Linked DNA regions of Cricetulus griseus. The protein of the gene in region 6 interacts with the protein of the main gene of each other region in a pairwise test. Links are inferred from orthologs where the notes say so. Each region holds a gene or a part of one and is shown on either strand. Other genes may lie near its edges.

The links.
Region 1: the proteins of Exoc5 (region 6) and Rab4b interact in binary tests that used the Homo sapiens proteins (3 or more experiments, as listed by UniProt). The two-hybrid records come from large-scale screens. The link is inferred for Cricetulus griseus from reciprocal best matches to the Homo sapiens genes EXOC5 and RAB4B.
Region 2: the proteins of Exoc5 (region 6) and Deup1 interact in binary tests that used the Homo sapiens proteins (3 or more experiments, as listed by UniProt). The two-hybrid records come from large-scale screens. The link is inferred for Cricetulus griseus from reciprocal best matches to the Homo sapiens genes EXOC5 and DEUP1.
Region 3: the proteins of Exoc5 (region 6) and Rab4a interact in binary tests that used the Homo sapiens proteins (3 or more experiments, as listed by UniProt). The two-hybrid records come from large-scale screens. The link is inferred for Cricetulus griseus from reciprocal best matches to the Homo sapiens genes EXOC5 and RAB4A.
Region 4: the proteins of Exoc5 (region 6) and Txlnb interact in binary tests that used the Homo sapiens proteins (3 or more experiments, as listed by UniProt). The two-hybrid records come from large-scale screens. The link is inferred for Cricetulus griseus from reciprocal best matches to the Homo sapiens genes EXOC5 and TXLNB.
Region 5: the proteins of Exoc5 (region 6) and Rab14 interact in binary tests that used the Homo sapiens proteins (3 or more experiments, as listed by UniProt). The two-hybrid records come from large-scale screens. The link is inferred for Cricetulus griseus from reciprocal best matches to the Homo sapiens genes EXOC5 and RAB14.
Region 7: the proteins of Exoc5 (region 6) and Edrf1 interact in binary tests that used the Homo sapiens proteins (3 or more experiments, as listed by UniProt). The two-hybrid records come from large-scale screens. The link is inferred for Cricetulus griseus from reciprocal best matches to the Homo sapiens genes EXOC5 and EDRF1.

The regions. Positions count from the first base shown.
Region 1 is NC_048602.1:8,748,527-8,752,381, reverse strand, and holds part of Rab4b (ras-related protein Rab-4B), read right to left. Parts: intron 1,814-3,855; coding exon 1,751-1,813; intron 1,662-1,750; coding exon 1,507-1,661; intron 590-1,506; coding exon 494-589; intron 394-493; coding exon 278-393; 3' UTR 263-277; intron 1-262. UniProt on the Homo sapiens protein: The small GTPases Rab are key regulators of intracellular membrane trafficking, from the formation of transport vesicles to their fusion with membranes.
Region 2 is NC_048597.1:129,075,945-129,079,799, forward strand, and holds part of Deup1 (deuterosome assembly protein 1), read right to left. Parts: intron 1,281-3,855; coding exon 1,086-1,280; intron 1-1,085. UniProt on the Homo sapiens protein: Key structural component of the deuterosome, a structure that promotes de novo centriole amplification in multiciliated cells.
Region 3 is NC_048596.1:200,514,264-200,517,232, reverse strand, and holds the end of Rab4a (ras-related protein Rab-4A), read right to left. Parts: intron 2,118-2,969; coding exon 2,002-2,117; 3' UTR 1,985-2,001; intron 1,075-1,984; 3' UTR 522-1,074; downstream 1-521. UniProt on the Homo sapiens protein: The small GTPases Rab are key regulators of intracellular membrane trafficking, from the formation of transport vesicles to their fusion with membranes.
Region 4 is NC_048595.1:271,878,739-271,883,223, forward strand, and holds the start of Txlnb (beta-taxilin), read right to left. Parts: upstream 3,062-4,485; coding exon 2,629-3,061; intron 1-2,628. UniProt on the Homo sapiens protein: Promotes motor nerve regeneration. May be involved in intracellular vesicle traffic.
Region 5 is NC_048599.1:147,001,633-147,006,097, forward strand, and holds the start of Rab14 (ras-related protein Rab-14), read right to left. Parts: upstream 2,938-4,465; 5' UTR 2,721-2,937; intron 1,606-2,720; 5' UTR 1,445-1,605; intron 1-1,444.
Region 6 is NW_023276807.1:205,066,947-205,070,801, forward strand, and holds part of Exoc5 (exocyst complex component 5), read right to left. Parts: intron 2,909-3,855; coding exon 2,788-2,908; intron 1,195-2,787; coding exon 1,108-1,194; intron 1-1,107. UniProt on the Homo sapiens protein: Component of the exocyst complex involved in the docking of exocytic vesicles with fusion sites on the plasma membrane.
Region 7 is NC_048596.1:67,229,499-67,234,058, forward strand, and holds the start of Edrf1 (erythroid differentiation-related factor 1), read right to left. Parts: upstream 2,874-4,560; 5' UTR 2,749-2,873; coding exon 2,638-2,748; intron 1,681-2,637; coding exon 1,472-1,680; intron 1-1,471. UniProt on the Homo sapiens protein: Transcription factor involved in erythroid differentiation. Involved in transcriptional activation of the globin gene.

The DNA.
Region 1 (3,855 bases), on a different chromosome or scaffold from region 6:
AGCACACAACATAGGTTCATTCCACCAGTGAGAACCATGAATGAAGGGCCAAGTGTAAGCTGAGGCTGGCAGAGGTCTGGGGTGCACAGGGCCCCTGGGTTCCCTGGGGCTGGGAAAGTGGCTCCTTTGGTTCGTGAGCTTTTTATGTCTTTCTTTGTCACCGTTTTTTCTTGTCCCGTTTTCCAAGTCTTGATGGCTGTTCTGTGCCCTGTCCCACCCAATACAAAAAGCCCTCTTGCCTCCTGAGCCCTCAGCATCCCACCTGGCTCTGCAGGTCTCAGCAGCCACAGGGCTGAGGGGCCACGGCCTGGGCGCTGCGAGGCTGCCGCAGCTGGCGGAGGGATACATCACCATACTGAATTCCTGAGCCCATCCTCTCGGGGTCTAGTTCACCTGTGGTCGGGGAGAAGCCAGAAGTGGTCCTCAGAGGCCCTGGAGACGGCCTTTACTCAGCCCCCGGCCCCCAAGCTCTCAGAGAGCGGATGGGCCTCACCTGAGTCGATCTTATTGAGGATGGTGCGCGCGCACTTCAGGAAGGCTTCTTCCACGTTCTCACCCGTGAGAGCGCTGGTCTCCAGGAACATCAGCTCTGGAGGGGCAGGGGCTCTGTCAGTCCCCACCCACCACTCCAGCTCCGGGTTCCTTAGAAGCTCTACCCGTGCCTGCCCTTACCTCAGACACTGGACACATGTTCCCCTGTGGGGAATGCTGTCCCCTACCTACACGTGTAGCTAGCTCACCGACCTCGTCCTTCCCAACTCAGCTCCCCTGGCTCTGCCCCAGAAAACCCTGAGGACCCAGCCTGAGTCTCCCGTGCCTCCCCTGTCCTAGCAGTGACTTCTCTCTGATGTCACTGTCAGCAAAGGGCTCTTGTGCAGGCCCGCCTCTGCACTACGAGCCTGAGTTGAGCACTGACCCCAGACTCACTGAGCACAGCCCCAAGCCCGCCTCAGCCACCCAGAGGTCACATGGCAGGGCCTCCCGTCAAGCCCACAGCTGCCTGGCCACAAAACTTCTTCTAAACCTGGGGGTCTGAAAGGCAGGAGGACATGAATTGGCCATGCCTGTACACCCTCTACAGTCCTCAGGGGAGGCAGAGACCCCACAGAAGGTCAGGAGAGCCGGGTCAGCCTGGGCAACAGAGTGAGTCTGAAGCTAGCCTTCATTTACAAAGGTCTCTATCTCCACCGCCTCCTGAGTTTGCAGTAGCCACTTTCAACCCCTGCTTTATGTCGCCTCCCCATTGTGTAAGAGACTGACCAGCAGCTGCCCTGTACCAGGAGGAGCTAAGGGTGTGATGGGCAGTTCCCGTGGCCAGCACACTGCTCATCCTCTTTCTCCCTGAACCTGAAGACCACGGCAGTCACGTGACTCGGTGCTTCGAGTGAAAGCAGGCCTGCTGAGGCCTCCGCGCTTAAGGTACCACCATCCACCCGTAGCTAAGAGGCACAGTGGGCCACAGTGGGCTGGCCCATCCCTCCACCTGGTCCACAGCAAAGCCCTCACCATTCTCCTGGGCAAAGCGGGAGGCCTCTAGGAAAGTAACTTCACGCTCAGGGTCCAGGTCCTTCTTGTTACCACAGAGGATGACCACGATGTTGGGGCTGGCCAGCGTTCGGGCATCAGTCAGCCACGCCGCTAGCGAGTTATATGTCTCTCGGCTGTGAAGAACAGACAGAAGAGGGAGGCAGCCCAGGAGTGGGGCCATCCGTGCCCAGCCTCTCCCGTGCCACCCAGACCCTGCACCCACCTGGTGATGTCGTACACCAGCAGGGCTCCAGCTGCCCCTCGGTAATAACTCCGCGTCACCGACCTGTGGGGCCAGGGGGACCCAGTCACCCCCAAGGCTGGGATCTGCCCAGGGATTGCCCCCCTCTGTGGAGAGAGGCTAATGGTTCGGAGACCCCCCTTTACTGTTGGCCCATGCCCTAAAACGTGACCTTGGTCCTCTTGAGATACAGTTTCTCTGTTCACAGCCTATCTCAATTAGTGTTACGATTTGGGTTCGTTTTTGAGACAGTTTCACTCTCTAGCCCAAGCTGGCCTGAAACCGACTAAGCAGCCCACCTGGCTTCAATATTAAGGCAACTCCCCTGCCTCAGCCACCACACCCAGGGGCCTGGCACATGCTAGGTAGCGCTCCACACAGAGTGACACCCCAACCCTTTAGTTCAGTTTAATTCAACGACATGCTAACTTACCTAGGCCGACTCCAAATTCACTGTATTCCAGGCAAGCCTGGAACTTTCTTACTTAGTTATTTCTTTTCTGTGGGTGTGTGGGTGTGCACTGTACCACAGTGTGTACGTGGAGGTCAGAGGACTCTTGTAAGGACTGGTTCTCTCCTGAGCTCAAGCTAGGTCCTCGGGTGGACACCATGCACTTTGACCCACGGAGCCATCTTACAAGACCATGTCATCAACTTGCAGTCCTCCTGTCTAAGCCTTTCAAGGAACTGAAATTACAGGCATCTACCACCACACCCAGCGTAATTTTCCATAATTTCCTTAATTTTCTTTCTTGTCTGTCAGTCTTTCTTACCCTGTCTCTCCCATGCTCACTTTTGCCTTCCCTCATTCATTCCTTTCAGTGAGTCTGTCAGCATTTTCTCAGTGTCTCCCGTCTGCCCGTCCTGGCCAAGTGCCACACAACTTCTACATGGCCCTCTCCGCTGTCTGATGCAGGCCCCCTTTCCTGTGTGGCCAACTCCCTGTGTCACCAATTTGGATCCCTCTGGAATGCATGCACGAACTGCAAAGCCAGGCCATGTCACACTCCTGTCTCTGTCACCCTCTCTCTGCCTCCGGGTTCTCAGTACCTCACATGGTCAATCTGCACATGAGTTAACTTAGCAGTTGGCGCTCTCTCTCTCTCTCTCTCTCTCTCTCTCTCTCTCTCTCTCTCTCTCTCTCTCCCTCCCTCCCTCTCTGTCCCTCTCTCTCTCTGTATCTGCAGACTTACTAGGTGCCCAGCCCATACATCCCCCCTCTGCAATCCACTCACCTCTCTGTCTCAAGTACAGCTGTCCAACCCTTCCGGAACCTCTCTGCTTCTGACCTATCCCCTCAGTGCCCATTCTTGCCTTCATTACTCCTTCATCTTCGTCTCCCCTGTCTATGTCTCTTCTTCCCTCTAAGGCTGTAAGGTTTCAGTGTCTGTCTGTTTTAAGATTCCTCTTCAAACCAGGCCGTGGTGGCGCACACCTTTAATCCCAGCACTCGGGAGACAGAGGCAGGTGGATCTCTGTGAGTTTGAGGCCAACCTGGGCTACAAAGTGAGTTCCGGAACAACCAGGGCTGTTACACAGAGAAACCCTTTCTCGAGAGAAAAATAAAAAAATCACAGGCGGTGGTGGCGCATGCCTTTAATCCCAGCACTTGGGAGGCAGGGGCAAGCAGATCTCTATGAGTTCGAGACCAGCCTGGTCTATTAGAGCTAGTTCCAGTATAGCCTCCAAAGCTACAGAGAAACCCTGTCTTGAACCCACCCACCCCCCCCCAAAAAAAAAGAAGCAGTATGGTAGCATTGCTTTTGGGCTGGAGAGGTGGCTCAGAGGTTAAGTGCACTGGCTGCTCTTCCAGAGGTCATGATTTCAATTCCAGCAACCACATGGTGGCTCACAACCATCTGTAATGAAATCTGGTGCCCTCTTCCCTCTTCTGACACGCAGGCAAATGTAGAACATTGTATACATAATAAATAAATGAAATCTTTAAAGAAAAATCCCTCTTCAAACACTACACTACTCCTTGGGGCTGGAGAGATGGCTCAGCAGTTGGTTAGTAAGGCTTACTGCTCTTGCAGAGGACATGGGTTATATACCCAGCACCCAAATGGCAGTTGACAACTACCTAT
Region 2 (3,855 bases), on a different chromosome or scaffold from region 6:
TTCAAACTCTTGCTTTAAAAAGATTTACTTTTGTAAATTATAGAATATACGCTCATTGACAAAGTCTAGGAAACATGGCAATATGAAAACGAAAATGAGTGTCATTCATGTGCAGCTGCTCACTCTGGCCATCTGCACAGTCTTCTGCCCAGGTAGTGCCTGCCCTGTTGCTGTTCTCCTGTGTGTGGTACAGTCTAAGGCCTATGACTGGATGGAGGCCTAATCTTTCCTTTTTGTAAATACACATACACGATTTAACTGTTGTTGTGGAGATTGTCTTGGTTCATGTTTTGTGCTCCAAAATCACTTAGATTTAGAGTGAAAAGGCCATAAAGCCTGTGCTGTTAAAAGCAGGTTACAAATTTGGTTAGTCACAAGAAAGCAGGGAACTTTAAAACATAAATAGGAGGGAGGGTGGGCATGAGCATCCCTTGCAGTGTCTTTTTTTCTTTTTTTCCGAGACAGGGTTTCTTGGCACTCGCTCTGTAGACTAGGCTGGCCCCGAACTCACAGAGATCCGCCTGCCTCTGCCTCCAGAGTGCTGGGATTAAAGGTGTGCAACACCAATGCCTGGCTCCTTGCAGTGTCTTAACTGTAGAAACTCGAAATGTCTGCTTGTCTCTGAGGACATACTGTATGCTGAATGGATGTTTAGTAAATATGGGTCAACTTTTATTCTGTAGCCTCTATGTTTAAAACACTAATGGCAATACATTAAGTGTGTGTGTGTGTGTGTGTGTGTGTGTGTGTGTGTGTATGTGGGCAGAGTGTTAGTGGAAAGGTCCTACTGAAAACAACTGCAGAAGGAAGCAGGCTGTATGAGGTGTGGGAAGACAGCTACAGGGGAGGGTCAGCATGGGACTGGTTGCCCTTGCATGTGTGGTCCTGTAGGTCTCTAGTGTTCCTTTGATGATACTTTGTGGCATGGCACGGGCCTTAAGGGGGTACCACAAGGTATCTCTGTCACCAGGTGTCAAACATTGACCCAGGGGCACCCAAGGCTCTTTCTTGACAGTGCAGGAGGAGGGCTAGGATGAGCATTGAGCAACAGTCAAGCCCTGGAAAGTGTTTTCTTGCCCGCATACCTGTTGCTTGGTTAACATTTTTTCTTTAATTTCTAATTCTATCTTTAGCTGCCTTTCCAGAAGGGCAGCTTTCTTCATGACAGTTGCTATAGTCATCTCCTTCCGGTGAAGTTCCTGCGTGAGGTCGGAGATCTCAATCCTCATGCGTTCCTGTTCAGTGCATCGGTCTTCCTCCTGATACATCTGGCTTCTAATCTGCAGGGAGAGTGACCCAGAAACATGAACCGCCCTTCTCACAGGGCAGCTGCGGCTTGTGCTGGACTCCCTCAGTCCTTCTCTCCTGAGAATGTCTGTGACCCATGGCACCTCCTTTCTGACTAGTACTGACCAACAAACAGCTCACTAAATTCACAGTTCTCTCCCAACCCCTAAAGTCCATTGCTTAAAGTTTCAAGTAAGCAGTTAGCCAGGTGTGGTAGTGCACACCTTTAATTCCAGCACTTGGGAGGCAGAGGCAGTTTGATATTAGTAAGTTTGAGGCCAACCTAGTACAAAGTAAGTTCAAGGACAGTCAGGACTGTTACACAGATAAACCCTGTCTTAAACAACAACAACAACAAAAACCAAAAACAACAACAAAAAGATTACTCACTGTATCTTACCCTTGGGGGTCAGAGATTAAATCACACAACCATCCTTCTCTCAGAACACACACATATGGGGTAGGGGGATAAAAATAAACAGATATTTATAGTACAGTGTAGTGACATGCTTGAGGAATGTCCTGGAGGGTGCCTAACCTGCTGGGAGGTGGGCAGCTTGTATCAGGATGGACCTTCCAAAGGAGACAAAATACTGAAGGGTAGATGGAAGCCAGAAATCCTGGACAAGATGGACTCCCAGGCAAAGGCGGCAGCCAAGGGTGGGCCAGAGAGCTGTGTTCACTGAGTAAGCTTAGAGTGTTTAAATCATCTGTGCTCCAAGAGATAAGGCCAGAGAGGGAAATCAAGAAAATGCACAGAGACTTTTATGAATATACCTGAACACTTAGAAGGTGAGAAATGGCTGTTTCTATTTCCTCTTTAAGGGGCCCTCTCCCCTTTTCTGTCCTTCTCTCTTCCCCCAGAATACCCTTTATAGTGTCTTAACAGTCTGTTCTTTCATATCAGGCAGAATCAAATGTGAAATTGGCCCAAAACTCCAATGCTCTTTAAGTTTATGAAACTGAATTAGGATCTTACCATGCCCACCTGGCTGTCTTTGTGTGTATCTAGTCTTTCCCTCCAATCCCATAATTTCACGTTCTAGTTACAGTCCTCAAGAAAGGCAGTCACTTCCTAGAACCTGTGTCCCCATCCATGGTGGGTTGCACTCTGGGATGGCCAGGGTTTAGGACTGACACCCAGAGAAAGACGACCTAATGCAGAGGTTGTCCAGATGCCAATGTGCTGCATCCTGGGCAAGGCTCCACCCACTTCTTATCTGGTCCTGCTCCAATACTAAGACTTAGAAATCACATGGTCTTACACGGGAGTGGGCCTAGGCCCCATCCCAAAGGATATGGCAGACTCTGATGACCCCCTATGGAAGGCCTCACCCTCCAGGGGGGAGCAGAAAGGATATGTGATAGGTAGGGTTTTAGTTGGGGGGGCTGTAGGGGAGGAGGGGAGGGAGAGGGAACTGGGATTTTCATGTAAAACAATCTTGTTTCTAATTCAAATAAAAAAAAAAGATGAAAAAAAACCAACCAACCAAACAAACAAACAAAAAGAAATCACTTGGTCTTAACTTTTCCATTCAGCAAACAGGAGCTGAGGTGTGTTGTCCAGCTCCCCAAAGCAAGAGTCTCGGTGATGGGACCTAAACCCAGAATATGTGATGGGTCTCTTTAAATTACATTTGTTAGTGTGTTCATATGCCTGCTACGGCACACACGTAGAGGTTCAGAGAACTCATAGGTGTTGGTTCACTCCTTCTACCATAAGTCTTGGAGCTAGAACTCAGGTCATCAAGCCCTTAGCACCAAGTCCCTCTATCCACTGGGCCATCTTGGTTACTCCCTCTGAATCTCTTTGATCCCCCCTCTCTATTTTTCGTCCTTACAGTTTACTTGGTGAACCAGCTGTATTGTCTGCAGTTTGCAGGCTGGATTTTACTCTCTATGTCCCTGTGGTGAAACTCAGAAACTCAGAAAGTTAAGAAAATGAATATGCTATTCTGAAAGAGGATTGAGATTTTTTTTTATTAGTTTACAGTGGTTAGATATTAAAACAACATGCTCTTCCATAGAGAGTGTTTCTAAATGGGATTGATTTATCTGCTTCCAGTGACATCCTTTTTTAAAATGTGAATTTTATCACAAAGTAAATGACTAAAAACAGCTCTGGACCCACAAAAGAAAAACCACTCACAAGACTCATAGTGCACGGCACTTGTTAGTGTCCTTACAAAGGAATGGAAATGCTCTTTGTAGATACTTCTGGAAGCTGCAGCTAGTTACCCCAGCCATCCATTATCGCACTGCACAGCACTGCTGCCTGGGCCTCTAGGGGCCTGGAGATGTGTGCCCTGGCCTCTCTCTGTCCCGCAGAGTCTGCCTCAACCTCCACCAGTGTTAGGATTATTGGTGTGAATTACCGCATCCAGTCAGGATCTGTCATTACAGCAGATTTCCTATTGAAACTGGTAGAATAATTACAAGGAAAATATATTGGTTGTAAAAGGATGAAGAACTGCAGGCTCCATATGAACCATGCCCAGACCCTCCTCATCTTAGGTTTTTAACCCCTGGAGGAGTGCTTGGTCCACTATGGGCCCTCAGAAATGTGAG
Region 3 (2,969 bases), on a different chromosome or scaffold from region 6:
AGGTTAGCTTGATAACTGTATACAGTAAAGGCATTTACATATTCCAGAAGAGCTACAAAGAAGTTTTGTGTGATCCACCTCTACCCTGTACTCACTCCAGTCTATCACAGGATGGTCTTGAGGTCATGATTGATAGCCTTTTGCTGTCTCAGCCTACTGAGTGCTGGGATTATAGATGTGTACCACCACACCGTGCATGATGGTAATGTGTATGGTGGGGAGTTGCTTGCTGGGGATCCAACTCAGGGCCTTGCACATGTAGAGTGAAGCACTTTACTACTGAGCCCAAGATTTCTTAAGTAGTATCCTTTGCCAGAGGTAGTGAGTTTCCTGAAAATGACTGCAAAATAATGTAAGATGTGGAAAAAGAGGCAGTGATGCTCTTATAATGGGTCTTCTAGCAGGGAGACAGACAGTGGAGGTCAAGGGTGATATGGAAGCCGGGCAGGCTGACTGGGGCCCACAGCGGCTCTTGCACTGACCTCAGTTAAGAGCCTTACAGTCCACAGAGCAGTCTAGTGTACTGTGCACGAGAAACTTGGTTCCACTTTATTTCCAGATGTTAGTGCGTCCTGTAGGTTTAGCATTTCAGGTGTGGATCACAGAAACAGTGTAAAAAGGACAAGAGGGATTAAATAAGAAACGCACTGACTGTTAGCGCCAGAGTCCTTTGATACTGAGTCATATGTGTAACCAACACAATGAGAAAAGCACGCTCACATTCACAAACTGCATTTCCTGTGAGTTGAAAAAAAAAAGCTTCTTTGAGTGCAGGATTCTACCATGTCACACTGGCTCTGTGCTGTAGGAACGTGCTGGGCTGTGTGCAGCACAAGCTTGATTTAACGGAACATGAAGGGGTAGGGATGTGGGGTAGGGATCTTTGCATACATGTGGCATCTAAAGGTATTGTCCGCTGAGTTAGTTTGCAGTATGGCTGCTGAGCCCTGTCTGCCAGTGTGCACTGATGTTTCCCCCATGAAGATCTACTTCTGTGCAGAGTAGAAAAGATGGTTGTAAAAACTTCAGACTCTTCAAGCTCCAGCAGCTGTGCTCCAGAAACCACCACTGAACCTGAGAAATGTTAGATACTTGATTAGATACTTGTGTGGTTGTAAACACAAAACAGCTCATGGCCCAACAGACAGGACAGACAGTTTCACCTTTGGATTAACACTGGTTTACCCTGCTAGATAATGCCATGGTGAGCTGAGCATGATGGCCTACACTCAGAATCTCAGTATTAGGGAGGCTGAAGCAGGAGGATTGCCATAAGGTGGTAGGCCCACCTAGGCTATATTATATAGTAAGCTCCTGCTTCAGCTTCTTTGACAAAAAAGTCCACTGTGGTAAATGGGAAAGAGCTATCAAAAGTATAGACAGGCTGTGGTGGTACACATCCCAGCACTCAGGAGGCAGAGGTAGGCAGATTTCTGAGTTCCAGGCCAGCCTGGTCTACAGAGCGAGTATGAGGTCAGCCAGAGATACACAGAGAAACCCTGTCTCAAAAAAACAAAAAACAAGGGCTGGAGAGATGGCTCAGGGGTTAAGAGCACTGCCCGTTCTTCCAGAGGTCCTGAGTCCAATTCCCAGCAACCACATGGTGGCTCACAACCATCTGAAATGAGATCTGGTGCCCTCTTCTGGCCTGCAGAGATACATGTATACAGAACACTGTATACATAATAAATAAATAAATCTTTAAAAACAAAACAAAAATGGAGTGCCTATTGGTTTCAGAGATGCTCCTATGGAGGTCTTCGTTAGGCCAAGTCTACTCCAAGGTTTAAGGAGCAGGAACTCTGTCACAGCAGGTACCTGCTCTGCCTTTGCTTCTGAATGGCTGGGAGGAGTTCCTATAGGGCCAGTGCTGTTGGGCAGGTCTCTGATTATCCATGTGGATCTCCTCTCCTGGGCTCCCCAACCCTCCCATTGCAGTTTTGCAACTCTTTTCTATCCAGCATGCAGGGCCTCCAGCACCCACCTGTGTTGCTGGCATGCCTAACAGCCACATTCCTGTGCATTTGGGGCCTGTGTACGCCGTGGTGACCGTAGCTGCCTCAGGGCAGCGTCTCCATACTGGATGCCAGAGCCCATTCTCTCTGGGTCCAGCTCACCTGAGGACCAAGAAAATGGCCATGAGTCCGTGCTCCCCAAACATGGTAAGTGGAAAAGGGCAAAGTGTAACGTACCGTGCAACTGTATCTTCATTGTGAAGAGCAAAAATATACTCACTAAAAGTATTTTATTATTTGCTTATTTTGGTTTTTGAAACAGCCTCACTATGTAGCCTTGGCTGGCCTATTACTTACTATGTACACCAAGCTGGCCTAGAACTCAGAGAGCTACCTGCCCCTGCCTGCCTGATGCTGGGATTAAAGGTATATGCCACCACACCTGACTGGGGGAAAGATGTCTTATTTTAAAAATTTATGTGTGTGGCCAGGCGTTGGTGGCACACCCCTTTAATCCCAGCACTTGGGAGGCAGAGGCAGGAGGATCTCTGTGAGTTCGAGACCAGCCTGGTCTCCAGAGCAAGTGCCAGGATAGGCTCCAAAGCTACACAGAGAAACCCTGTCTCAAAAAACAAAAAACAAAACAAAACAAAAATGTATGTGTGTAATACATGTGTGCAGGTGTGTAGCATATGGAGGCCAGAGCTCACCCTATGAGCTTTTTACTTGTTTTTGAGATACAGGCTGTCACCCAAGACCTGGGTGCTCTGCACCTCTGAGACACCTGAGCCTGAATTTTGGATGTTGAGTAGAACTATGTGACAGATTACATATATGAAACTAAATGAGTTTAAAATTAATAGCAGTGTTCACTTACTAGTTTATAATAACCCAATCTTGATGCTACCCTCCCTCCACACACCTGCCCCTGACCAGTGACTCCTCTGGGAGCTTTTTTCTGTCAGGCAGGTGTGACTGGCATGCTATTTAGGGGTGCTTTACTACAGCCTTGCT
Region 4 (4,485 bases), on a different chromosome or scaffold from region 6:
TGTCCCACAAGGAACCCGTTTCTCTGGCATATTTAGAATTGTTATTCAGAGAAATGGCAGCCCTCTGCAGTCTCAGGGAGGCCACTGAGCAGCTTTCTTTTATAAAAAGACTTACAAATATCTACTAGTTAACCACAAATGGCAGGCAGAGCCTTACCTTGTCTGGCAACCTCCTTCTGCCCAAAGAAGCCCACAACCAGAACTTAACACTAAGGTTGGAAGAAACAGTTTCTGAAGCCAGAGCACCCTTTTCTTCTACAACCTGCTTTCTGTCACATTGTCACAGTGCCTTGGGCTGGCTTTATGTGCACCAGTTCTGAATCTCTGTGCACGGCAGAGTTTTGACAAGCTCTGAATTTGGTTTAAACACACAGTCAAGTTTGTAGACAATATTGCAGCACCATGTAATGATCAAGTAGCCAAGAAGTTTCCTAAAGCCACTTGTAGGCAGCTAAGTTGGAAGTGGAGGTTTTATGTGTAGGCTGGCCTGAAAATGTTGTTATAACTAGGAGCGTAGCTGAGACTGTACTGTGTGTAGAAGAATATGTTAATGATATAGAGTGGGATAGCACAGAAAGGCCACCAGCCCACACATGCTGAGAGTTGGCCTCTGATGCACAAACAGAAATTCTAGCCAAACGCATTGGGCTGGAGCTTGGTAATTTGTAGAGAGTGGCAGGAAAAAAAAGTAATTTTTTTTTCTCATTCTGAAAAAACTGTCCTAATTATTTGGTAATTGTAAGTACTATATAGATTTATAAAATAATTCATGGGAGAGTATGTAGAAGCTCCAGTTGGTTGTCTTTAATTTCCCCTTATTTTCCTCCTGCTTTGTCCCTTAGTATAGCCAATACACAGAAATCTCTATATAAATGGTTTAGGAGGATATGCACAATGGTTCAGGAACATCCTGGATCCGTAATGTAACGGTGCCAAGAGGCACATCCAAGATGATTTGATTAGAAAAGTGAAAAATTGCTCTTTAACACAGAAGGCCATTATGATGACTCCTGGTATTCTAGAATGATTCAGACTTGCATGTTTGGAATGTGAAAATATATTAAATGTTGTGATCTTTGTGTGTGTGGCAGCGGGGTGGGGGGTGTCAGGTGTATTGCTGGAAATCCTTTTCTTAATGAGTTTTATGCCCACAATGGTCCCCTATTCTAATGTTTACAGGTAGAAATCTGTTACTGGAGCGTGTGGAGTATGAACAAAGTTCAGACTCAATGCCCTTGGTATTTCACTCTATCACACTATACAAATGAACAAGGTGTGGTTACTCCTTGAGAGCTCACCCATCTAGCATGGAAGCTGGAGAAAATTTAATGGAGACGTGAGAAAGGTGATGCTAACTCAGTCTTACATGGGAAGTAGTCTTTGAAGTGATCGCTGTAGTGGCAGTCACTACTGGGGACAGACTGAGGGGTTTTCCTATATAGTAATGTTTTCAGCCATAGCTTCAAAATTAGCATTCTTTCCCTTCATCCACAGTTATTGCTGGTGCTACCAATCCTCAATGCTCTTAAAAAAAAAAACATGTTCTCCTCTGCCTGTTTCTGCTGCATCATGGTGCATGTGTTTGCTTTTCTATCTGTACCAAGAGGCCCTTAACCAAAGGATCATCTCTTTTTGTGCTCCCAGCACAGTGTGTCATAAGCAGGCCTTAACACATGATCATGAGACTAACAATAGATGAGTGCAGTTATAGGTCTTCTGTCATTTGTGGCAAATGTAACCACACTTTTTGTGATCTGTGCTTAATCAAAAATATTTTATAGTAAGTGATCTAACTGATAATTATTTTATCAATGAACTTATCCCTATTTACTATATTTTGCTTATTTACTAGGATTGCTTTAAATTTCCAATTCATATAATTCATCCTTAGCAAATATCTGTTGAGCTTTTAATTTGTCATCTCCTATTTTGTACCCATACACACATACATTGATTTTGATATTGAAAAAAATTCAATTGGGAATTAGATATATTAACCAAATACTCTCCTCCAAAATGTATAATTCAAAATGCTGGCTAGTACTATGAAAAAAGGAAACATGGTACAATGCAGACTCAAAGAAGTTACAACTTTAGAATTGGGCTTAGAAATTGCCATTTGGTTTTGAGTTAAATGCTAAGTAGGGGTTCTCTGCTCAGAAGGCTGGAAGGGTGGCAGAGCAAAGTGGGCAGAGGTTTCTAGGTAGAATGTGCAGGCGCCTTTGGAGAAGAGAACAAGGAAGTTCAGAAAACCAAAATGCAAGATGAGAATAAATGACTGCACTAGTGGTGGGATCAGGGGTAGAAAGAGAAAGAAAGATGCTCGGGATAGCGTGAAATGAGATCAAGCTTAAACTGGTTAGGGTTAGATCAGTTTAAGGGACTAAAAAAAAAAGTCACAAGAATTTTGATGTTCTCTCTAAGAGGATCGGGAAGCCACATAGGTAGAGTTGATAGGCACTGTGTTAAAATTTTACTTTAGTTTTATTTAAAGGAATGGGCGTGGGACAAATACAGCCCCAAAGGAAGATATTATATTAATTCAAATGTATTAGACATGGCTTTTAGTGAAGTTAAAGCAAATGGGATAATTAAGAGAAAAGTCATATATGAGGACATAATACTTGCCTAACCCTTTTAGGATCTTCTTTTCCAGTTTCTGCTCTTTATTGCTGACAGGCTCCTTGGCAGAGGCTGGCTCTTCAGAAGCAGTGGCTTCTCTGTCTGTCTCTTCAGTGGTTTCTTCACAGTCCCCATCCTCATTGTCCAGCATCTCTGTGTTTTCGGGCTGCTCCTTAGCTTCAGTGGTACCCTCTGTCTCTGTGGGGCTGGCAGCAGACCCATACATGTTTATGATGTCCTCCAGCTGTCGGTTCAACTCTTCAGAGATGTCATGGGTGCCCTTCTCAGGGCATACACTTGTCTCCTGCTCTGGTACTTCGAGTGAGGTTGAGGGCTGCTGGCCATCTTGCTTTCCCAGGCCATTTTGCTTGAGTGATGAATTGTCCCCTGGGGGTTTTGGCTGTTCAGCTGAAAGCTGTTTAGGGTGATTAGTCTCCATATGGGAGTGGTATCTGGTGGGAAGAACAGTTAGGTTTTATGTAATGAACCCACTTACAGATTAACAATAAAGATATCTCTTATATAGGTACCAGTTAGTTAGTTTCTGTCGCAGAAAAAAAAAAAAAAAAAAAGAACTATCATATACCACTGACACTAAAAATCAAGTCATGTTACTGTCATATTTTGGGTGTAATCTTCATATTTTAGTAGTATCTTTTATTGCTGAAATCCTCTGAGTTAATTCATGGTATTGTTTTGTGTATGAATATATTTGTTAATTTGTATTAAGATTTTCATGTGTGGACTTCACAGTCCTTTGAAGTACACACATATAGACATTCTCTTTCAAAGCTAAAATATTTAATGCAAGAACCATTGTGCTTACTAAAAATCATTCATAATAGTTACTTCCCTCAGCTATTTTAAATCTTTATGTAAAAATTCAATTTGCATAATTTAATATAAATACATTATTAGGTAAAATCCCTCTTAAAGTATTTTTTTCCTGATAATGAGCAACATGCAAGGAGCAAAAACATCAAGGAGAAAAAACATTTTTGAGCTTCAGACTAGCATTATTTTTTAATTAAAATGGGGAATGAGGGAATGTATAAATAAACCAATAATATGGAAGAATGATGGAACTTATAAGCGTTATTTTCATGTGCATACATGTGTATGCACATGTGTGTGCACATTGGGGAAGACAGAGAAGGCTGTCAGGTGTCCTGCTCCAGCACTCTCTACCCTATTCCTTGGAGACAGGGTCTCTCACTGAACCCACCACTAGGCTGGCAGCCAACAAGACCCAGCTAATCTTCCTGTCTCTTTCCCTAACAGCACTACAATGACAGGTGCATTTAACCTCACCCTGGTTTTTACATGGTTGTTAGCATCTGAATTCAAATCCTTTTGCTTATAGAGTAAGCACTCTTACCCATGAGCCATCTCTCCAATCCATTTACAATAGTAGTTCCTTAATTGCTGTACTACTATATTCTTCTACTCCAAAAATTGACCTTATTTTAGAAGAAATTACAATCTTCTAAGTCATAAAGTTCTAAGAAAGGGTAAGAATTTTAAGAAAAAGCAATGTATAATAAACAGGGAGTTCAAAGTAGAGAAATAATTCAAATACAATATGGGCTCAAAGCAGGTGTAGTGGGGCATGCCTGTCATTTTACATAGAGGCAGGAGGATAGGAAGTTCAAGGTCATCCCAGCTACATACTGAGTCCCAGGCCTGCCCCAGCTTATGATCCTGTCATCCATCAGCAGCTGCTGCAGCTGCTGCAACAACACCACGCAGATACAACACGGACTCTGAGAAATATAGAGCAATACAATCAGTTACATGAAAGAACCCACTTCGAGTGTCGGATAGACTTGGCATAGGTTTTTCCACATTCTGGTCCATTTTGTT
Region 5 (4,465 bases), on a different chromosome or scaffold from region 6:
CAGAACTCAAGAATGGATGCATTCTTGCTTAGAAGCTCCTGAAGTGGAATGATACTCAACTTGTCTGCCAGGTGGACATAAAACTTTCATAGTTAATCTAATAATCTAATCAAAATGGTCAATTTCCTTCCCATAATAGTATTACGACCTCTGAAAACAACATGTTCATTTCTGAAATCAACTTTCCACAAGTCATTTAAGGTTATACTTTTGTGTAAATTAATGTAAATAAATTCTTAAAAGTACTGGGTTGCTTGACAATGTCCCAAAAGAAAGACAAAACCTTCCCACTAAAGATAGTATGCTATGAAGAAATAAATACTCCAATTCTTCACCCTCTTTTCCATAAAAATACTTAACCAAAAAACTATGAATCCTGTATTTGAAAGGATTATAAGAGTAAAAATGTTCCTGACATATCTGAGATACAGATGAGGATGGGAGGAGCAATGCATAGCTAAAACAAGACTGTTCACTGCAGACACCAACTGATGGGTAATATGATAGTAATGCTCATTAAACTGATATTCAATATAATGCTTTATTTTGCAGACTTTGAAAAGTTTGAAATATGGTATCTCATATATAATCTAGTATTATGGAAACTTATATAATAAAGTTGTCTCTTAATACTAACATTTGTCTCCTGCCACAGCTTTTTTCATAGCTATTTGTGTGTATGCCTGCACACACGTGGATGTCAGAGAATAACAAGCAGGAAGTCATTCTTTCCTTCTACCACATGGGTTCCAGAATCTCACACAAGCTGTCAAGCTTGGACCAAGAACCTTTACTGACTGAGCCATCTTACCAGCCCCATGTTGCTAACATTTTTTAATGACACAAGCATCCCAATAGCTTAGTTTTAACATTTTTATCTTACACGTCTTGGTAAGAGGATGCAAATATATACTTACAAAGTTGGCTGCAAAAAATTTCCAAGCTCTTTTGCAAAGTTGAAGTTTACAAGTATAAAATTTAACATGAAAACAGCAGATTTTTTTAAAGAAAAATATCCTTAATTCCAAGGAATTTTCAATAGCTATGAGAATCTAAGATTTTACATCTTTATATTATAGTAACTCCACTTACTAAGTGTCTAATATAAACCAGCTACTTCATAAACAATCTCTAATCCTAAAAATTCATTTTACAAATAAGGAAACCAGGTCAGAAATGACATACTGATGGTTATATACTACTTAATGAGCAGGTAGCATTAAGCCCAGGGTCTACTCCAAAGCCAAGCTCCTTTCATTCAACAGCTATTAAACACCCATTTTGCCTAGCAAAATTAAGAGTTACTGTGGCACTTACATGCCAACCAAAGTACTAAGTGCTTTCTTTAAGTCCTATTTAATCCTAGAAATAACTGAAATGTGGGCACGATTATTCCCTTTACAAATAAGGACACTGAATTGGGGGGGGTGGGGGGATAGCTTACCTGGTTAGGGTTAATTAAGTAACTAGGAAGTGGCAGTACTGTTTGAGCGATTTTACTTGTTCATGCCTGAGGGTGTGTAGCTTAAGGTTTTGGAGTCTCGATGGCTTGGATTCCTATTCTGGTACTGCCACTTCCTAGTTACAGTGAATTTCCGAGAAAAACTGTTGAAAGGAAGGGAAAAAAGGGAGCTGGATTACTGTGGGGTCAAACTTGTCCTCAGTGATCACATTTACATAAAAGGTAGTTAGAACAACATGCCATGAACCGTAAACTTTCCAAGAGTTTCTAGCACTTAACTGGGCAGCCACCAAGAACACAGCTTTCTTCACAAATAGAGCAAATCCTACCACCATCTCTCCTCCAATGAGCATCTACCAGTGTAGCAGCTGACATGAGAGCTTTTGGATGTTATCTGTTTATCACCCAGTGCAAAGAGAGGAAAAATGGAATTGAGTTGTCACTGCTCTAAAACGGTCACGTCTTGCATATCCAACCCTCGTTGAACGTAGTGTGGTGCAAAATACACCAGCCAGCGCAGGGAGAAGCCAGTCTGTGTGTGCCATCATTACTCAGCTACACGCAACTTCTGGCCTTAGTCCTTATAAAAAATGCGTAAAACTCTCCAAAGGCACTTGAAGCGAGATACGTGTGAAGACACCTAAACCCGTGCCTGGCACACAGTGCAGTGCAAACTCTCCAAGCAGCCCCGGGCCACTTCCTTTTCTCAAATTCTCAAGATGCCCAAACTTTTCTCCCTCGTTATTTCTCGATGCTGTGTAGTGTTAGGTTCTAAACCGCGCAGGCTGGCCGGGGACTTTACAGCGAAGACCTCGTCAACAGTACTGCGACCGTATCCCCGGCCGGGGTACAACCGGGTGCCCGCAAGGACACGGGAGCCAGTCCGGGATGCCGGAAAGGTAAGGCCTGTGGGGCAGGACTGCCCAGCCGGGGCTCGTGGGTGGCGGGACGGTGACACGCGTGGGGAATCGCTGCGGGGGTGATGTGCAGCTGCGGGCAGAGGCGGCGAGACCCGGGCCTGCGGAGGCCGGAACACACCCTTCCCGCACCCTCGGAGCACGAGCCCGGCCGGGTGGCGCGGGCGACAGCTCGCCCCAGAGCGCTGTCAGAGCGGCGCCCTCCGCCAACCACGGGCTGGCCGCGGCCTGCGGGACTGCCCGGGACGCGCGCCCGCCTACCTGCCGGCTCGCCCCCGCCCCTCGGCAGGGCCGGGCCCGGAGGACGGCGACGGGCGGCCGCTGCGGAAGGCCCTGGTTACCTGGGGGGTTGCTGGTGGCTGGGCAGCTTTCCGGACGGGAGGGGGACGTCAGGACGAGGAAGCGGAGCGCGGACGCGGCGGGAGGGCGGCCGGGACCCGTCGGCCGAGACCCCAGCAGGAAGGCGGGCTGGCCTGAGGTTGCAGACACTCGGGCTGCAGTCGCGGCGGTGGCGGCAGCTGACCCTGCGGCTCCCTCAGGATCTTCCTCGGGCTGGTCCAAGATGGCGGCGCTCCCTGCACAGGGTTTCCTGTCACCCTCGCAATGGGCCGGACCACAAAAGAAGGGGGGAGGATGCGCGCGCAGCCAGCGGAGCCCGGAAGCGGGTGGCGGAAACCGACCCGACGGCTACGCCCCTTCCCCAGTCCGCCCCTCTGGAGTCGACCCGCCCTGGCCGAGGCCCGCCCCACTGGCCCTCACGCCTGAAGAGGGCGGGGATAGTGGCCTGCGCAAGCGCAGTCGCATGCCCTCGCCTCCCGGGGAAGTTGCTGCGCAGGTTCGCACGCTGTGTTCTAAGGGGTCCCTGGGTCCAGAAATACCGCGTTTGGAGACCTGTTTTTAATACTCGTATCTGCTTCTCACTTGGCCGCTTCTGTATACTGGCTTCTGCGACACTCACGTATTTACTGCATTTATTCATTATTTACCAGTCACTTCGAGATTACCGGGAACAAGGCAGGCCAACACCCAGAGAGGCTTCTTGTGCTGTCAGAGGCCAAGAGGCGGCTCTCATTGACCAACCCACTTGTCTTAATTAGGAGCAGGCCCTTTCTGCCTAGTGTTTCATCTTTGTCTCTCCTAAACTTGCTTTGCGGACCTTCGATAGGAAGAGGGAAACAACATTTTCACTGTTTGGCCACCACTCCCACCTTCCCAAGACACCTCGGTGAAAGCAACAGTTTTACTTTCTTCGTCTTAAGTCTTTTTCACCGTAGTTTTTTTTTTTTTTTTCCTTGTAGAACCTGGGTATGGGTTTGTTTTATATTTACGTTTAATTTTTATTTTACCCCGCCCAATAATATATATTGAACCTCGTCCCACCCACCCCCTCAAAAAAAAAATTCAGGAGAAAAATAATCAACTTATTTGCTATAGAAAACGTCTTGCTATATGTTATTAATGTATCCATCCTTGTGCCTTGTGCTTAATGGGAGGTAGGAGAAGCATGGAAGACAGTGCTGAGGGCAATTTGAACTGTGGAAGCCTAGCTCAAGAAATATCAGAGGGGATATTGGTAAGTGGCCTCGAGATCATTCTTGTGATATTTTGACAAAGAATGTGGCCGCTTTCTGCCGTTGTAAAATTTTGGTGGAGGTGAATTGAAGCAAATTGGATTAATGGCATCGGTAGGGGAGATTTCAAGATCACCTAATATTGACTGTGTTGGTTACTAGCAGTCCCTCTTCTGTACATCTACAGTGAAAAGCAAGTGGGCAAGGAGAAATGCTGAATGTACAGTTTGAGAAAGGGAGCACAGGGAAATGTAATGGCGCTAAATCCAGTGTTCAAGGAGATAAAAGGTTTAAAGAAAAGCCTGATGCTAAAAGGAATAAAGGGAATGGTGACCCAGGCAAAACCCTACCCAGCTAAGCTTCCACCTTTTAAAAAGAAGTTAAAGAAAAACTTAAGCAGTGAAGAAAACGATCAACAACAGAAAGCTGGTGCTAATGTAATTGAAAGAGAGGACTGTGTTCCAGCCCCAGCAAGCAGTAGAACTTGGTGTTATGATAATGCGTGTGGGGGACCT
Region 6 (3,855 bases):
CCTTGAAAGGATCTTGGAAACCTACCACTAGTTACTTACTTCATAAGTAAGGATCTAAGTCAAAGCCATACATAGAGAATATTTAGGAAAGTGGAAGATAAAAGGCTTAAAAAGAATGGCTGTGGTAGCAAGCACATTGAGTCCCACAGTCAAAAAATAATCAGGAAGATGGAAAAGTGGTACTAAATCCCAGCTGAAAAATAAAGGCACTGATTAGAAGGCACCAATAATATTTAACTCATGTGACATCCTCCAACAGCAAGCTTATGGGGATAAAAAAAAGACTACACTAATTCAGAGTTTAGTAGTTGCAAGACAGTCAAAATGATAAGCTTAATGTTAAATTCAAGAAACAGACCACATAATTAAGCACAACAATAATGAGGTCAAGTTACAAAAGGATAGTAGAACAACGTAAGATGCTGAGATTAAAGGATATAGATCACATCACAGTCCTTGTACTGTGTCTGATATATCAGCAAATACTTGATAACCAGGGGCTATACTAATTTTCAATCAATATAAGAAGACCATGTTCTGAAAATAGAAACCTGGAAAGTAATAGTATTTATAGTCTTCAGTAAAGATTATAAAGTTTTAAAATTCACTTAGCAGAAGTTACATATACAAAACCAATACAATTATTAAAATATTTCATAGATAAGCCAGAGCACATTAAATGGAAATATAACAAACACTGAATACCTTTGTTGCTTCAGCAGAATTTAGGATTGAACCAAGGGTTCCCCACACTCTAAAATGGTCTACCCCTGAACTACATCCCAGCCCAACATCTTATTTTAAAGGAATTTGTAGCTTGTACATGTGTGGTGCAGACGAGTGGGGTTTAAAAGGGTTTTGTAACTGTTTTGATTTGAAAATATATCTAAGCATACTAACTTTGAAAAGAAAAACATACCAAAAAACACCTTGGGGATTAATAAAAATAGCATTCTCCTGAAAATAAGAACAATGTGTTAAAGTGTCAACTTTACAGCCAGAAGAATAAAAATAAACATACTTTCTTTTATAAAAACCATGTTCATGCTGCAATGCAAATGCACTTCTACAATTATTAAAAATGCAGGAGAAAAACAGTTAACTTACCTATCGATGCCAGTATCCAATTTCATTTCCATCTGCTCAATTATCTCTTTTTTCTTCTGAAGGCATTCAGATAACTTAGGAGAAGAGCTATTGTTTATTAAGGAGGAAAACAAACTCCCATTAATAGCCTACTTTCTATGTTTCTAATCTGTACAACATGAATACATATTTGTAAATAGACTGTAACACCCATTATTTTTATTTGCTCATATACACAATAATTATAAAATAAATCATTACATACAATTATGTACATTAACATACCCAATTCATTAATACTAAAAAAATTAACCCATTAAAAGCAAAGAAAAAACAGACTTGTTACTCTAATCACTGAGGAGATAGCACTTTGAAAATTTGAAACTAGTTTCCTCTGTATCTAAATATCTGGTATAATAGTAAGAAAAGTAACAGATAATCCTACTAACAAAAATGTGGACAGTAGTAAGTAAATCCTGCTACATTTAGCTTTTTTTAAAATAAAAAGATACAAAACCTAATAACCATGGTAGGCTTCTGAATACTATTAAAACATTAAGGAATACACAACACTAACACCTCTGTGAATTCTCTGTTATGACATGCAGCTTTTTACAAAATAATTCACTAAGAAAACTTCCTAAACTGGGCTTGGTGGCTCATGCCTGTAATACCTGCCTAAGCTACACAGCAAAACAGTAAATTTCCTTTCAAAGTATGATTCAGGAATAATAAGTGATCTGTGAGCTTGTTTCTCGTCTAGACATGTCATAGAACTGTTTATAAAAAACTATGAAACTCTCTAGTTTATCTGAACATTTCCTGTATAGATAATTGTGCTAATGACACAATTTTATGTAATATATATATTATACATTACTCCATTTAATTTCAAATGCTTTAGAAGTCCATATAAATTAATATGAAGATATGAATAAAATCTTAATGCATTATCAAAATTTGTCCATTCATGTTTTTTTGTATGTCTTTATAACAAGTGTATCGTGTCTATTGGTGTGTATATGTGTGTGTGTCTATGTGTACATGTTACTTGGGAGTGAGCCCAGGAGCTTGTAGATACTAAAGCAAGCTCTACCACTGAGCTCAGCCTTAACTTTTTTTTAAAAGAAGAACTTTTAAATTTTATTTTGAGATTACAATATAATTACATAATTTCTCTATTCCCTTTATTCCTCCAAAGCCCTCCTATATACCCCTCCTATCCTCAGCCCTTAGAAAAAGGAAAACAAAAAGCAAACACAAACAAAAGAAAGCACCTTTAAGACTGGGTCTTAGTTGTCCAAGCTGACTTTGAAATCATCATGTTGACTAGACTGCCTCAAACTTGAGATCCTCCTGCCTCAGCCTCCTGAGTAGATAGGAGTACAGGTGTGCCCCACCATGTCTGGTACCTGTTCTGTCTTCTGAAGGATGTGAATTTGCTGAGCTGCACTAGGCTGGAAAGCCTTGTTCATGTTAGATTTCCAATTGGTTTATGATACTTAAAACTTTTCAAATATATCAAAATTAACAGCACAGTGGGAAGAGAAAACAAGAATTCAATGAATTCAAGGAAGGAAGAAAAGACTTTGGTTTCAAACCTACTGTCCTGTTTGGTGTTTCATAAACACGTATTATTTAAAAAATAATAAAAGCATAATACTCATTGAAATAACAATGAAAATATGAAATGCAACTAACCTTATTAGTGGCATAAGGTGATCATTAAACTGTTTGTCAAAAAGATGAAAAATAGTATTGGCCTGTTGTACAACATCCAAAAAATAGAGATTTGCATTCCTAGAATCTGATGATGGAATTCCTAAAATTGGAAGGCACAAATAAATGAGAACCAACCTTGAAAAAAGCTGGGCAAAAGAAAAGAATGATTTTATATATACCACATGAATAAAAGTAACTGTCATTTAATAAATCAGCAATGATTCTATAGAATTTTGTTAAATAGTTTAATAAAATTCATTCAAAGTTAACCATCCTCATGGTTCATTTAGATAAAAATGAATCAACAAAGCACCTGTTAGTATTTAGGCACCTGTACTGGCCTGCCTTTGGAACCCTGACAGGATATGCCTCAGCTGCTGCCACTAAGAGCATCACCTGTGCCCTGTTAAAAGGGTCCTGCCCACCTTCCATCCTTCTCTCTCTCTCTCTCTCTCTCTCTCTCTCTCTCTCTCTCTCTCTCTCTCTCTCTCTCTCTCTTCCCCCCTTTCCTCTCTCCCACTGCTCCTGAACCCGATGATATCCCCCCTCCCCTTTCCACTTTTTATGATTCTTTCCCCCTAATAAAAAAGCCCCCTGCTTGAACTCTGTTGCATGGTCTTTCTCTCTCCAGTCGCTTTTTAAAACTTAACAACAGTCTGGGCTCTACCTTCTCCTTCTTTCCCCACCTTTGACCATGTCACATGAACACTTCCAATAGTTTTTCTTATAACCTGGTCTCCCTCCTGCCCTCCCTCTGACAGTTAAAGTTGTGTTCCCTGTGGTCTTCTAGTTCAGGGTTACCCTCTCCTGTAAATTACACACAGCATTCATCATACTCTATCCACTCTTTCCTCAAAAATATTCAAAATCTCATCATCTCAGACCCGCATTTCCTCAACATCTCCTACTATTCTGTGTGGTAGGCAACCACATTCTGACACCAAAAGATGGAACTGGAACCCTTCTGGATCTGTTTCCCCTTTTCATAAAAAGTAACCTACAGACTCAAGGTTCCTTGCTCTTTTTAGCTCTATACGCCTATGTTTC
Region 7 (4,560 bases), on a different chromosome or scaffold from region 6:
TCACCATGTTCCCATTAGTAAGTGAATGAGTCGGGACATTTACCTAGGACTGCATGTGTTTAATATGATTTTCCATCTACTCTGCATAAACAGGCTAACCTTGATTCCTCATTTGCAAATTGTTAATAGTGTCTATCTTAAAAAGATGGTTGTAAAAAACACAGAAAAATAATCTAGCATAGTATTTATATAGTAAACATAACTATTTAAACCAACTCACATTTAATACAATTAAGCCATTTTTAAAATAATAAAAATATATGGTTATTTTCAGACTTTTCATAATATCAAAAATGCTACAAATAAACAACTTGTGCCCAGCACTCAGGAGGCAGAGGAAGGTGGATCTCTGTGAGTTCCAGACCAGCCTGGTCTACAAGAGCCAGTTCCAGGACAGCCTCCAAAGCCACAGAGAAACCCTGTCTCAACCCCCCCCAAAAAAAAACAAAACAAAAAATCCAAAAATAAACAACTTGTGAACATGGCTTTTAGCCTGAGGCATCTGGATAATTTCTAAACTACTAGCTCATAGGGTATCAATGTTTGTGGTTATTGCCATATAAGTTATATGAAAATATTTTAAGTCCAATCATTCAGGGGAAGAAAAAGAACACACAGTAAATGGTCAACAAGAATATGGACACTAGCTAAGACCGAAGGACACTCTTAACTTTAAATATCACCAGTAGAATTTCCACTGTGGGCCAAAGATGTAGGTTACCCAGCATGTGGAGTTTTTAACCTCAGGCTTTTTCAAATACTACATCACCATTTAATAAAAACTCCAAGCAGGGTGTTGGTGGCGCACGCCTTTAATCCCAGCACTAGGGAGGCAGAGGCAGGCGGATCTCTGTGAGTTCGAGACCAGCCTGGTCTACAAGAGCTAGTTCCAGGGCAGCCTCCAAAGCCACAGAGAAACCCTGTCTTGAAAAACAAAAACAAAACAAAAAAACCCCCCAAAACCAAAAAGATAAAGACCCCTGCCCACTTTGCTGCCCGGCATTGGTGGCGCACTCCTTTAATCCCAGCACTCGGGAGGCAGAGGCAGGAGGATCTCTGTGAGTTCGAGGCCAACCTGGTCTACAGAGCAAGTGCCAGGATAGGCTCCAAAGCTACACAGAGAAACCCTGTCTCGAAAACAAACAAACAAACAAAAACTCCAGACAGCAAGCTAAGTAGTGGCTCAGGTCTTGCTCCTTACACACCACCCTATTTGCACATATTCAGAGCACATACAAATGGATAAAACAGCTTATTAGCAGTCAATATTCATGTTTGTTAAAACATGCTACAGACTTAAAGAAAGCATATAACTCCAATGTCATCTTATTGCACCATGAATTTGAAAGACAGCTATAAATTTTTATTAAACATATCTGAACAAATTAATGTGTATCTCAAACTGAACTGGGAAGCAGCTTTAACTGGGGGTTTAAGGGGAGGGGAAGAAATGCCAGCGACTAAAATTTACCTCGAAAATGGCTTGCTTTTCTTACTATTGCCAAGAATGGTAGTTCCTGCTGGCCCTAGTTTGGCACTCTCTCGTAACCAGTTGGCAGGTGGGAGTTTCAAGTCTGTTTTTTCTTCAAGACGTGCAAATGCTGTTCGAGGAGGGGCAGAAGAATATTTCACCACGGCTCGGCTTTTCACTTCATTGCCTCCAAGAAATAAAGCTGATCCCTAATTAACACAGGGAGCGAAGCCTTAATGAATATTGCTGGGAATGACAATCTCACCGTCATACAAGAACCCACCAAATCAGGCTTCACAAGGAGCCTATGCTGCCAGTCAGCTGTAACACTTAGACTCAAGCTTCAATTATGCTTACCTAGCTGTTTTCCATTAAATGTAAAAAAGAAAAGGATCAACTAAGAAGTGGATAAAGGCCAACCAAACTGCTTTTTAAAATACTGGGCATAGTGGTTGCACACGTGCGCTCCCAGCACCGCGGAGGCAGACACAGAAGGGTCACTGCGAGGTCTAAAGCCAGCCTCACTGGTCTACACAACCAGTTCCACACCAGTAATGACTACCCAGTTTGTTGAGTCACATACAATGGAGCATCAGAAACCAAACGCGCTTAATTGTGTCACGTTAACTGCATGCAAAATGAGCAAGACCGGTGAACGGGTTTAATAGAATATTTTAGTTTAGCATACATCGAAGACACTGTAGGAAGATACTGGGTCGTGTTTATTTTATCAAACCTACAGCGACTGATCGATTCGTAAACTCATCCTGAGACAACACACTCCGGTGCAAGCTCAGAGTCCGGACTCACATTCATTAGAGCCGCTTTAGGCTTGACAAACACTTTGCGCCTTTCAAGGTATCAGCTCAGTCAAGATTTAGGTGAGGCCCTCCCTGGCACTGTCCCTTTTTCCTCCGCCCTCGGAAGGCCGTGGCACATTCGGTAACCAGTCCCATCAATTACCCGCGCGTGGGAAACCAGGTGTGTTCTGCATCAATGCCTTGCAAGCAAACACCTGCAAACCCGACGACAGGCACACCCGGTGACTCCTTCCGAACCAGAGGTGCCAAGGAGGCGTGGAAGTAAGCTCCAGAAGCCCCGCGATCTCCCGTCCAGGTCCGGCGGGCACGCAAACCCCCGAGTCCCGGCAGGTCCCGAAGCCTCACCTGGGCAGAAGAAGGTTCCTCGGATTCCGCCTGGGACAGGAGGCTGAGCCCTCCTCGGGCGGCCGCCCCTGGAGGCGAAGCCTCGGCTCCTGCTTCCTTGGGGTCCCCCATTATTTCCGCCCCGGGGGAGGCGGCCAGACGCGCGAGCCCAGGAGCCTGCGACAGGAACGCGGGCCCAGAGTCGCAGGAGAACCGCAGTGCGAGAAACTCGGACGCTCAGCAGCTCGCACTTCCGGCGGCTGACAGGAAGGGCTCGAGGTGACGCGATCAAATCTCGCGAGATTTTTACCCCAAAGGTCCAGCCGGTACTCCGACTATAGCTCCTCCCTCGGAGAGGGTCCGGAGCAGCAACACGCCGGCGCCTGTCACATCGCTCGGGCGGCCACTTCTCGCGATATCCGACGCCCGGGCTCCTCCCCCTCGCTCGCGGTTGGTCTTTGTTGGCAAACAGTTATCAGGAGTTGAGTCAAAGTCCGGGCGGTAGGGGAGGGGTTCCCGTGATCAAAGCCGGTGGCGCCGGGCCTCACAGGCGGTTCGTACTCTCAGGGCGTCTCGAGCTCCACGCGCGCGGGGACCACCTGTGGGTCTTCGCACTTTCAGATCGGTGGAGGGCCAAGACCCCGCGTTTCTCCCTGAGGCCGCTCCAGATCTCTGCACTGTAAGGAGAGAAAAGTAATCAGCCTGATCAGTAGTTTTCTAAGCAGCGTCCCGTGCAGCCCTGGCTGGTCTTGAACTCGCTGAGTAGTGGAGGGTAATCTTGTACTTGGTATTCTCCTGCCACCAGCTCCCAATTCTTGCGTTTATTCCAGCCTGGGGATGGAACCCAGGTCTTCGAGTAGGTGAGGCAAGCACTCCGAGCTACATTTCTAGCTCTGCACCTAATATCAGACAGGCTTTCTTTGCCACATTCCCCATAAAATATATTTGTTTGTAAAAGGTATTAAGGTTTTTGAAAAACACTTTTGTGTTGTGTGTATGAGGTTCTTTGCCTGTACATACACGTATGTGCGTGTGTGTATGAAATGCTATCAGAATCCAGAAGAGGGCATCAGATCTCTAGGAACGGAATTACAGGCAGTTGGGCATTGCCTAACGTGGGTGCTGAGTACTGAACTGGGGGGTCCTCTGTGTGAGCAGAAAGTGTTCCTATTTACTGAGCCATCTCTCCTGCCCTGAGGTATTATGTTTTTGGTTTACATGTTTTGGCCTTTGCAGTTATTTGGTTATGCCAGGTTATACTTTTTCATTAGGCTCTGAGAATTCAGTAATTGCATCTTTAGGAGTCCTTGTAGCAAGCGGGTGCAGTCTGCATATTGTTTTCAAATTAAACAAGACATTTTTATGAGTTAGCATTTTGATACATATTTTGCAGACATTTACTTTAAAGCATGTCTTACCGTTTTTAAAAATTACTTTGTGCGGGGCGTTGGTGGCACACGCCTTTAATCCCAGCACTCGGGAGGCAGAGGCAGGCGGATCTCTGAGTTCGAGGCCAGCCTGGTCTCCAGAGCGAGTGCCAGGATAGGCTCCAAAGCTACACAGAGAAACCCTGTCTCGAAAAACCAAAAACCAAAACAAAAAAACTACTTTGTGTGTTTTACAGCCAGTTACTGTTATTGTTGCAATTTGTTGTTTAATACATTACAAGGACTGGAAACCCAGCAGGTAAAAAAGCCCCTGCCTGCTAACCAAGCTGATGACCCGAGTTCCATCTCAGCCCTGGAACACATGGTAGAAGGAGAAAGTTAACTTTGGAAAGCTGTGTCTGCCCATCTCATGTCCTGTGGCTGACATGAACACAGGCATATACACAATAATAATACAAGATTTGAATAAAACTTAATAAACTTACTTTGGGTACATGATAAACCTTGAACATCCATGAATTCATTTCCCAAGAATGTGTAAAAAAAATCTGAATTG